Linked DNA regions of Callithrix jacchus. The protein of the gene in region 2 purifies or fractionates together with the protein of the main gene of each other region. This does not show direct contact. Links are inferred from orthologs where the notes say so. Each region holds a gene or a part of one and is shown on either strand. Other genes may lie near its edges.

Evidence for each region.
Region 1: the proteins of MRPS27 (region 2) and NOA1 purify together in Homo sapiens (co-immunoprecipitation; 3 studies listed by BioGRID and IntAct, counting the BioPlex papers as one, with this or other methods). This does not show direct contact. The link is inferred for Callithrix jacchus from reciprocal best matches to the Homo sapiens genes MRPS27 and NOA1.

What each region holds. Positions count from the first base shown.
Region 1 is NC_133504.1:139,818,770-139,823,269, reverse strand, and holds the start of NOA1 (nitric oxide-associated protein 1), read right to left. Parts: upstream 3,110-4,500; 5' UTR 3,084-3,109; coding exon 1,964-3,083; intron 1-1,963. Other genes in the region: POLR2B (DNA-directed RNA polymerase II subunit RPB2), read left to right, coding at 4,473-4,491. UniProt on the Homo sapiens protein: Involved in regulation of mitochondrial protein translation and respiration. Plays a role in mitochondria-mediated cell death. May act as a scaffolding protein or stabilizer of respiratory chain supercomplexes. Binds GTP.
Region 2 is NC_133503.1:138,936,819-138,940,380, reverse strand, and holds part of MRPS27 (small ribosomal subunit protein mS27), read right to left. Parts: intron 3,275-3,562; coding exon 3,035-3,274; 3' UTR 1-3,034. UniProt on the Homo sapiens protein: RNA-binding component of the mitochondrial small ribosomal subunit (mt-SSU) that plays a role in mitochondrial protein synthesis. Stimulates mitochondrial mRNA translation of subunit components of the mitochondrial electron transport chain.

The DNA.
Region 1 (4,500 bases), on a different chromosome or scaffold from region 2:
TAATTGAGGTCAGGAGTTCAAGACCATCCTCGCTAGCATGGTGAAACCCTGTCTCTACTAAAAATACAAAAAACTAGCCAGGTGTGGTGGTGTGCCCTTGTAGTCCCAGCTACTTGGGGAGAATGGCTTGAACCTGCGAGGTGGGAGTTGCCATGAGCAGAGATCACGCCACTGCACTCCAGCCTGGGCGACAAGAGTGAGACTCGGTCTCAAAAAACAAAAACAAAAACAAAAAATTTAAACCATAGAAGGACTCGTTTTCCAATTACAGATTACAGAATTTTCTCTTTCTTTCTTTCTTTCTTGTTTTTGAGACAGTCTTGTTGTTTCCCAGGCTGGAGTGCAATGGTGCGATCTCGGCTCAGCCTCCCAGGTTCAAGTGATTCTCCAGTCTCAGCCTCCTGAGTAGCTGGGATTACAGGCACCAACTATCACACCTGGTAAATTTTTGTATTTTTAGTAGAGACAAGGATTTCGCCATGTTGGCTAAGCTGGTCTTGAACTCCTGACCTCAGGTGATCTGACCACCTCGGCCTCCCAAAGTGCTGGGATTACAGGTGTGAGTCACTGCACCTGGCCACAGAAGTTTCTTAAAGTCACAAGGCTGATACTTCCGTTTTCTGGGGTCTCACTCTGTTGTCAAGGCAGGACTGGAGTGAGGTGGCCCAATTAGGGCTTACTGCCGCCTTGACTTTCTGGGCTTAGGTGATTCTCCTATCTCAGCTTCCTGAGTAGCTGGAACTACAGGCATGCGTCACGAAGCCTGGCTAATTTTTGCATTTTTAGTAGAGACAGGGTTTTACCACGTTGCCCAGGCTGGTCTTGAACTCCTGAGCTCAAGCAATCTGCCTGCCTTGGCCTCCCAAGGTACTAGAATTACAGATCTGAGACACTGAGCCTGGGGAAGCCACACATCAAATTGCACTAATGGGCTGGATGTCATGGCTCACACCCGTAATCCTAGTACTTTGGGAGGACAAGGTGGGCAAATCACTTGAGGTTAGGAGTTGGACACCCACCTAGCCAACATGGTGAAACCCGGTCTCTACTAAAGATACAAAAATTAGCTGGGCATGGTGGTGCCTGCCTGTAATTCCAGCACTTTGGGAGGCCAAGGCAGGCAGATCACCTGAGGTCAGGAGTTCTAGATCAGCCTGGGCAATGTGGCGAAACCCCATTTCTACTAAAAATACGAAAATTAGGCTGGGTGTGGTGGCTCACACCTGTAATTCCAACACTTTGGGAGGCCGAGGTGGGGGGGTAATCACGAGGTTGGGAGTTTAAGACCGGCCTGACCAACATGGTGAAACCCTGTCTCTACTAAAAATACAAAAATTAGCCGGGTGTGGTGGTGCATGCCTGTAATCCTAGCTACTTGGGAGGCTGAGGCAGGAGAATCACTTGAACCCAGGAGGTGGAGGTTGCAGTGAGCTGAGATCACGCCACTGCACTCCAGCCTGGGCGACAGAGACTCCGTCTCAAAAACCAAAATCACAAATGTCATTAACGAATTACTCACATGTTGTATGTGTATAGTACACTGGTTTCATAAGAATAAACCCAACATGTGAACAGTAAGATTGAGGGGTGGAGAGAGGTTCAGAAAGTAAAAAGAACACACACTTTCTAGAACAACATACAAAGTAGTTACAAAGCAAATCTCCCGAACAGGAACTTTCCATTTCCTTGCTTTGTTCCCTGGTGTATCTCCAGCGCCTAGTGACTGGGAACAGAGAAGTGCTCCATAATCACTTCCGTTAGAAAATTACTACAACACATCCTCAATTTTTCCTAGCAATAAGCTGACACAGAAGAGAGGTGTGACCAGAGTGGGGAGGGAATTTGTAAAGGGAAGGGTTCAGGCAGCGTAGTGGACATTAAGGGAGGATGTACTCGGTGCCTCCGCCAGGACCAGACGTCCACCTTGTCAGAAAACGAAGAGGGCGAGCCTCCTAAGACTCACCTGGCCAAGGGGAGATGGTGGCCCTGTCGATGGCCTCGGCGCCCTTGGCGGTGCAGTAATCGGACTCCAGGAGTGTGTTAAAGAGAGTGGATTTGCCAGCGTTGGTGGCGCCCACCAAGTAGACGTCCCCACGGTATCGCCAGGAGCTCTGAAGGGCAGAGATCAACTCTTCCACTCCATAGCCGGTCTTGGCGCTGATCAGCCGCACGTCCCTGACCACAGTGCGGGACCAGTCTGACGGATTCGAATTCTCCCGGTCCTGTGGCCCTCGGTGGCCAGGGGCCAGCAGCAGTCCAGCGCGGGCACAGTCGTCCCAGAGTCGCTCCCGCAGCCTGTTCCTGTAGCCAGTAGTATCCTGGGGCAGGAGGTCCACTTTGTTTCCCAGCACGATCAGCTGCTTGGATCCCACCAGCGCGGGCAAGTCCGGCAGCAGGGCGTCGGGCAGGTCGAGCAGGTCCACCATGTAGAGCACTAGGGAGGGCCCCGGCCGCCGCAGAGCCGCGCTCACCAGCTCCAGGTACTGGCCACGGCTCACCTGCAGGTGCAGAGCGCGCCGGTGGTGCACTAGCAGCCAGCAGCGCTGACACACGGTCCGCGTCAGCCCGCCGCCTGCCTCCGCCGCGCGGAGAAACTTCTCGTGAGGCAGGTAGCCGGGCATGCCGGGGTCCTGGCAGTGCAGCTCTGCCCCGCAGCCCGAGCAGTTCACGCCGCTGGGCTGCACTGCCGGGTCCGGGTGCCCCAGGACCCGGGGCTCCCGGTACCTGGCCCGTAGGTTTTGCTGTCGCCGCTCCTCTTGCCGCTGCTGCCTCTGTTGTTCCTCCTCCTCCTGCTGCTGCTGGAGCTCCCGCAGCTGCTCTTTGGGGGTAGGTTCCGGCTCCGGCTCGAGGAGGTACTCTGGGAAGAGAAAATGCTCCTGCATGTCAGCACTTTCTTCGAAGTCCTTCGTGTTCACCGGGTCATGAGGAATCTCGCGTCCCAGGCTCGATGAGCTCCGGAAGGAGGAGGCGGCAGGGCACCTCCTCCCCAGGAACGGCTCCGGGAGGCCATGGAGCGCGGCCGTGGGAACGGATCCACGCAGGAAAGGGCTCAAGAGCCTGAACGTTAGGCGCGCAGGCAGCATGAGGAAGTAGCTCCAGGCGAAGGGGCGGAGCCACAAGCTCGCGCGCTCACTAGGCCCCGAGGCGCGCGAGACCCGAGACTAAAGCGCGTGGGTACTTGGGAGGTGTCTTGGTTCTTCTCCTGTCTAATCCCGTGTGTTCTCGCGATTAAAGCGCTGAGACTGAGAACCTAGTTAAAGCTGCCGCAAAGGCACCGGAGGGTTAAGCTAGGTGGGCGGAAGAGATCTGCGTGTGCTTTGGGTTTTTCACTTTCTTTTTTTTTTGAGACGGAGTTTCGCTGTTGTTACCCAGACTGGAGTGCAATGGCACGATCTCGGCTCACCGCAACGTCTGCCGTCTGGGTTCAAGCAATTCTATTGCCTCAGCCTCCCGAGTAGCTGGGACTACAGGTGCGCACCACCATGCCCAGCTAATTTTTGTATTTTTAGTAGAGACAGGGTTTCACCTTGTTGACCAGGATGGTCTCGATCTCTTGACCTCGTGATCCACCCGCCTCGGCCTCCCAAAGTGCAGGGATTATAGGCGTGAGCCACCGCGCCCGGCCGGTTTTTCACTTTCCACCATCTTTAACGCCTCACTGCTATCACAAGCAGCCCTTAATAAATCACATTTAAAAACGAGCTTCCGGCCGGGCGCGTGGCTCACGTCTGTCAGCACTTGGAGAGGCCGAGGCGGGTGGATCACCTCAGGTCAGCAGTTCGAGACCAGCCCGGCCAACATGGTGAAAGCCCCGTCTCTACTAAAAATACAAAAATTAGCTGGGCATGGTGGCGCGCGCCTGTAATCCCAGCTACCTGGGAGGCAGAGACAGGAGAATCGCTTGAACCTGGGAGGCAGAAGTTGCAGTGAGCGAAGATCACTCCACTGCACTCCAGTCTGGGCAACAGAACGAGACTCCGTTTCAAAAATTAAATAAATAAAAATAAAACATAGCTTCGTGTTGTTTTGGTCCTTAAAAAGGCAAATAAATTTAACATCCCAATGTCGCGGATTCACAGAACGAACACTTTTTATTAATAACTATACTTGGTTTTGTTTTCAGCTGTCGTTATTTGTGCAACAACATTAAAAAACAAGCAGAAATAAAACATTCACGGGACGGATCCGACCGCAGATTGCGAGAGCTGTCTTTTCAATCAGCCACCAACAGCGGCGGCACACAATTTGCGCGTAGGCAACTCTAATGCCCGCCCCAGCGCGCCCTACACTTTGCGCAGGCGCAGATCCTAACTTTGGCGTCCTTGTGGGCGGCCTTCGTGTGAGACGCATAGTATTCTGGGAACGCTGGAGACGGAAGTTAATTCGTCTATAGCTCCAGACGCTGGTGGCTTCTGTGCGCTCTTTTGTCTTTTCGGTTTCTAGAGTTAGGAACTCGGGAATCTTTTGGCAGTATGTACGACGCGGATGAGGGTAGGTGAA
Region 2 (3,562 bases):
TGCTTGTAGTTCTGAGGGCAGGGCTTCAAGCTAATGTAGAATATAAAAGCTATGGAAGTAAAAATAAAAGTCAATTAAAGGAAGGACTACTGAGTTGAAGAGAACAGCCTTAATTCTGTAGAAGAATCTAATCAGCCAAATATTATGACTTTATATATCAACACTTAGTAAGTCAGAATCAAACAGAAAATGAATGGTGGTGTTATCAGTTTCCTAGGGCCGAGATAGCAAACTACCAAAAAAGTTTGGCTTAAAATAACAGTTCTGAAGGCAAGAACTCAGAAATGATGGTGTCTGCAGGACCAAGCCTTCTCTGACGGCTCTAGGGGAGAATCGTCCTTACCACTTCTAACTTCCGGTGTTTGCTGGCAAGCCTTGGCATACCTTGGCCTGTAGAGTCACAGGCTCATCTTCCTTCCCTCTGTGTCTGTGTGTGCAAACTTCCCTTTTAAAAAAAAAAAACCACCAAGTTAAATCAGACTGACCCTGATGATCTCATTTTAAATTTGATTACCTCAATAAAAGAACTTATTTCCAACTAAGGTCAGATTCTAAGGGACTGGGGATTAGGGATACAATTTACCTTTTTTAGGAAACACAGTTCTACCTGTAGCAGATGGGTGCAAGGGTGTAGGTCCAAGGCTGATAAGTGAGCGTGGATAAAGGGAGTGAGAGAAAATGAAGCTGCTAATGAGAACATCAGGGGAGTGACTGACCATGGGGCCTACACTGGGAGAAGCAAATTCTGGAGATCAAGAGTTGGAGGGATAGGGTAAAGGGTTAACAGGAAGGAAGTTACAGGGCAAGCTGGTTCAGCAGCAGTCATGGTACGAGACAAGATCGAGAGAGTGGGGACTTCAGGGTCTAAGATCTTGGATTCATGACATGAGGCTGGAGGTTTGCCTGTGACTACAGCAGGTCAGCTGCAGAGGCCGCATGGAAGAATATGGAAGATGACGTGAGGGAAGGGGACAAAGGACAACTGTATTGGGAAGTGCTAGTTGTGAAGAAAGGTGAGATAATATCCTATAGCTCAGGAGATAAGGACACGGGGAAAGGGCAGAAGATTTGGAGGGGAAAGACTCTAAGAGTCCTCAGAAATGGGGCACAAGTGTGGAAGGAATCCTAAGGAGCAGGAAACATGGGAATTCCTGTGTGACCACAGTACAGTGCAGAAGAGGTCTCTTTTGGTAAAGTCTGGGAGTAAACGTTGGGGCTGGAGGGGGAGGAAAAATGAAGGCAAAATGATGAGCCAAAGCCTTAACCAGATATTTCATGTTGTGACAGTCATTACTGAGCAAAAGTTGCCTTTTGATTTGTCTTGAATGTCATGAGGGAGTGGCTGAAAAAGCCCCCGTTGGTAAACCAAAACGTCGGTACTGACTTTTGGTCACAGCCCTCTGCCTAAGACTCTGCAGCTTTGCTGCCTAAAGGGCCCTGTGTTGGCTCCTGACTGCAGCTCTACACAGAGGCCACAGGCAGTGAGATGAGCAGCAGGAGAGTTGCTTAGTTATATAAAATAGGGACACTGCTACCTCCCTCATAGGGCTGCTTGGGTTTTTGGCCTACAGTTAAGACCTTAATAAATATTAGTGGTGGTAGCTACCATTATTATAATAAATCCCACAGTCTAATGGAGGAGGGTTGAAAACATACTCCTCAAAATCTTAGTAACAATACTGATGAGTCCCTCTCTCCTTCCTCCCTTCCCCTAAAGATAAAGAATCCACCAACATAATCCCAGAACATTTATTTCCAGAGGTTTTTCATCAAAGGGCACAATCTTGAATAAAATTATACCACTATACCTAAAAGCAACGCTACGCAGTAAGCAAAATCTGCCCTGAACCCTTTCACAGAAGAAACCTCAAAAAGGCATTTTCCGTCTCCTGACAGTTTTACAATATTCATACCTTCTATGCACTTCAAGTTCCATCTCTCACTTTCTAACTTCTTTAACAGAAATGTGTGTTCACAAGCTGTATGTGTGCACATGTGCCTGTGTGTACACAAAAGGCTCATTTTTACCTAGTTGATAAAGGAGTTGAGACAATGTTTTGGAAAAAATAAGTTGGGAAAAAAAAGTTACCCCAACACGATGGCAAAGGCAAGCTAAAAAGGCTTCATGCTAGAGCCGACTCTCTGCTCAAACTCTTACATCCTAAAAATGTCCCTGTGGGGGCCTAAAAATTGAAATCCACTTGGTTCATGGCCTTGAGTTCACTCCTGTCCTGAATTTCCCCAGTGCAGGTCCAGAAGGGCGAGATGTGGCAGAAAGAAGACTCCAGGGACACAAGGTCTCAGGATGCACAGTTCACCTTGGCCTCATGTGCCTGGGCTGGGGAGAGGGAGACTATTCAACAGCCTGTGTTTGGCTGGGTACAGTGGCTCACGCTTGTAATCCCAGCACTTTGGGAGGCCGAGGCAGGCAGATCACTTGAGGTCAGGAGTTTGAGACCATGGTGAAACTCCATCTCTGCTAAAAATAAAAAAATTAGCTGGCTGTGGTGGCACACACCTGTAATCCCACCTACTCAGGAGGCTGAGGCAGGAGAATTGCTTTAACCCGGGAGTCGAAGGCTGCAGTAAGCCGAGATTGCACCACGGCACTCTAGCCTGAGTGACAGAGCAAGACTCCGTCTCAAAAAACAAAAACCCCAAAAACAAAAGCCTGTGCTTTAGACCTGACTCTTTAGCCTTGGTTTCTCCCAGTACCTTCACTGGGTCTTAGGAACTTTAATGCTCAAAACTAATCCCTGTGCCCCAGGAACTCCATCATGAACCTCAAGAGCCCTCCTAAAAGTATTTGGTCGGTGACTTCAGTCTGACCACGAGCCACCTGCCTCATTCCACAGTACCCTTCTTGGCATCTCAGTGGGGAGTCATGGTGCCTTGCCATGTAGAGCACATAGCCTGCTTTAAGAAAAGGAGAAGGTGGGTAGAGGAAGCTGAGGCTGCTGTGCAGGCCACTGCTGAGTCCTGGCATGGGGTCGAGTGAAGTTCTGTGGGAGGGGTTGGGCCCTGGGGGACCCTCTTAGGCAGATGCCTTTGCTGCTTTCCGAGCCTGGAACTCCTGTTTTGCTTTCTCCCTCTGTTCTTGCTCTCTCTGGATCAAGTGTACACGGTCTAGATGCCACCGCTGCAGTTGCTGCTCATAGGTGGCGATGTCCTCTGCTTCACAGGTGGAGAGTTTTTCCTTCACAAGCTGCGTGGTCACACTTAAAAGACTTTCTGACTCAATTTTGCCCAGAGCCTGAAGCTTCGAATGTAAGGCCTGTTGGAAACAAAGGGGAAAAAAGAAGAGAAAGGTAGAGAAGTGAGAGGAGGGTACAAAGAGGAAAGATGAAGCCACCTGCAAAATATCTACATGTTTTGCTTGTAGAAAAAAACCATTTTGTTAGGAATTGTCATGTTGCCTTTCTTCTAGGTGCTATTATTAGCTTTTGCTATGTTTTTCAGCTCAGGAATTTTGCTAAGATGCAACACACGTGATTTCTCCCCTTTCACTCACAAATAGTAAATGGAACTCCACATGCTGTGTCTCCCTGTGTTTTAAACCACA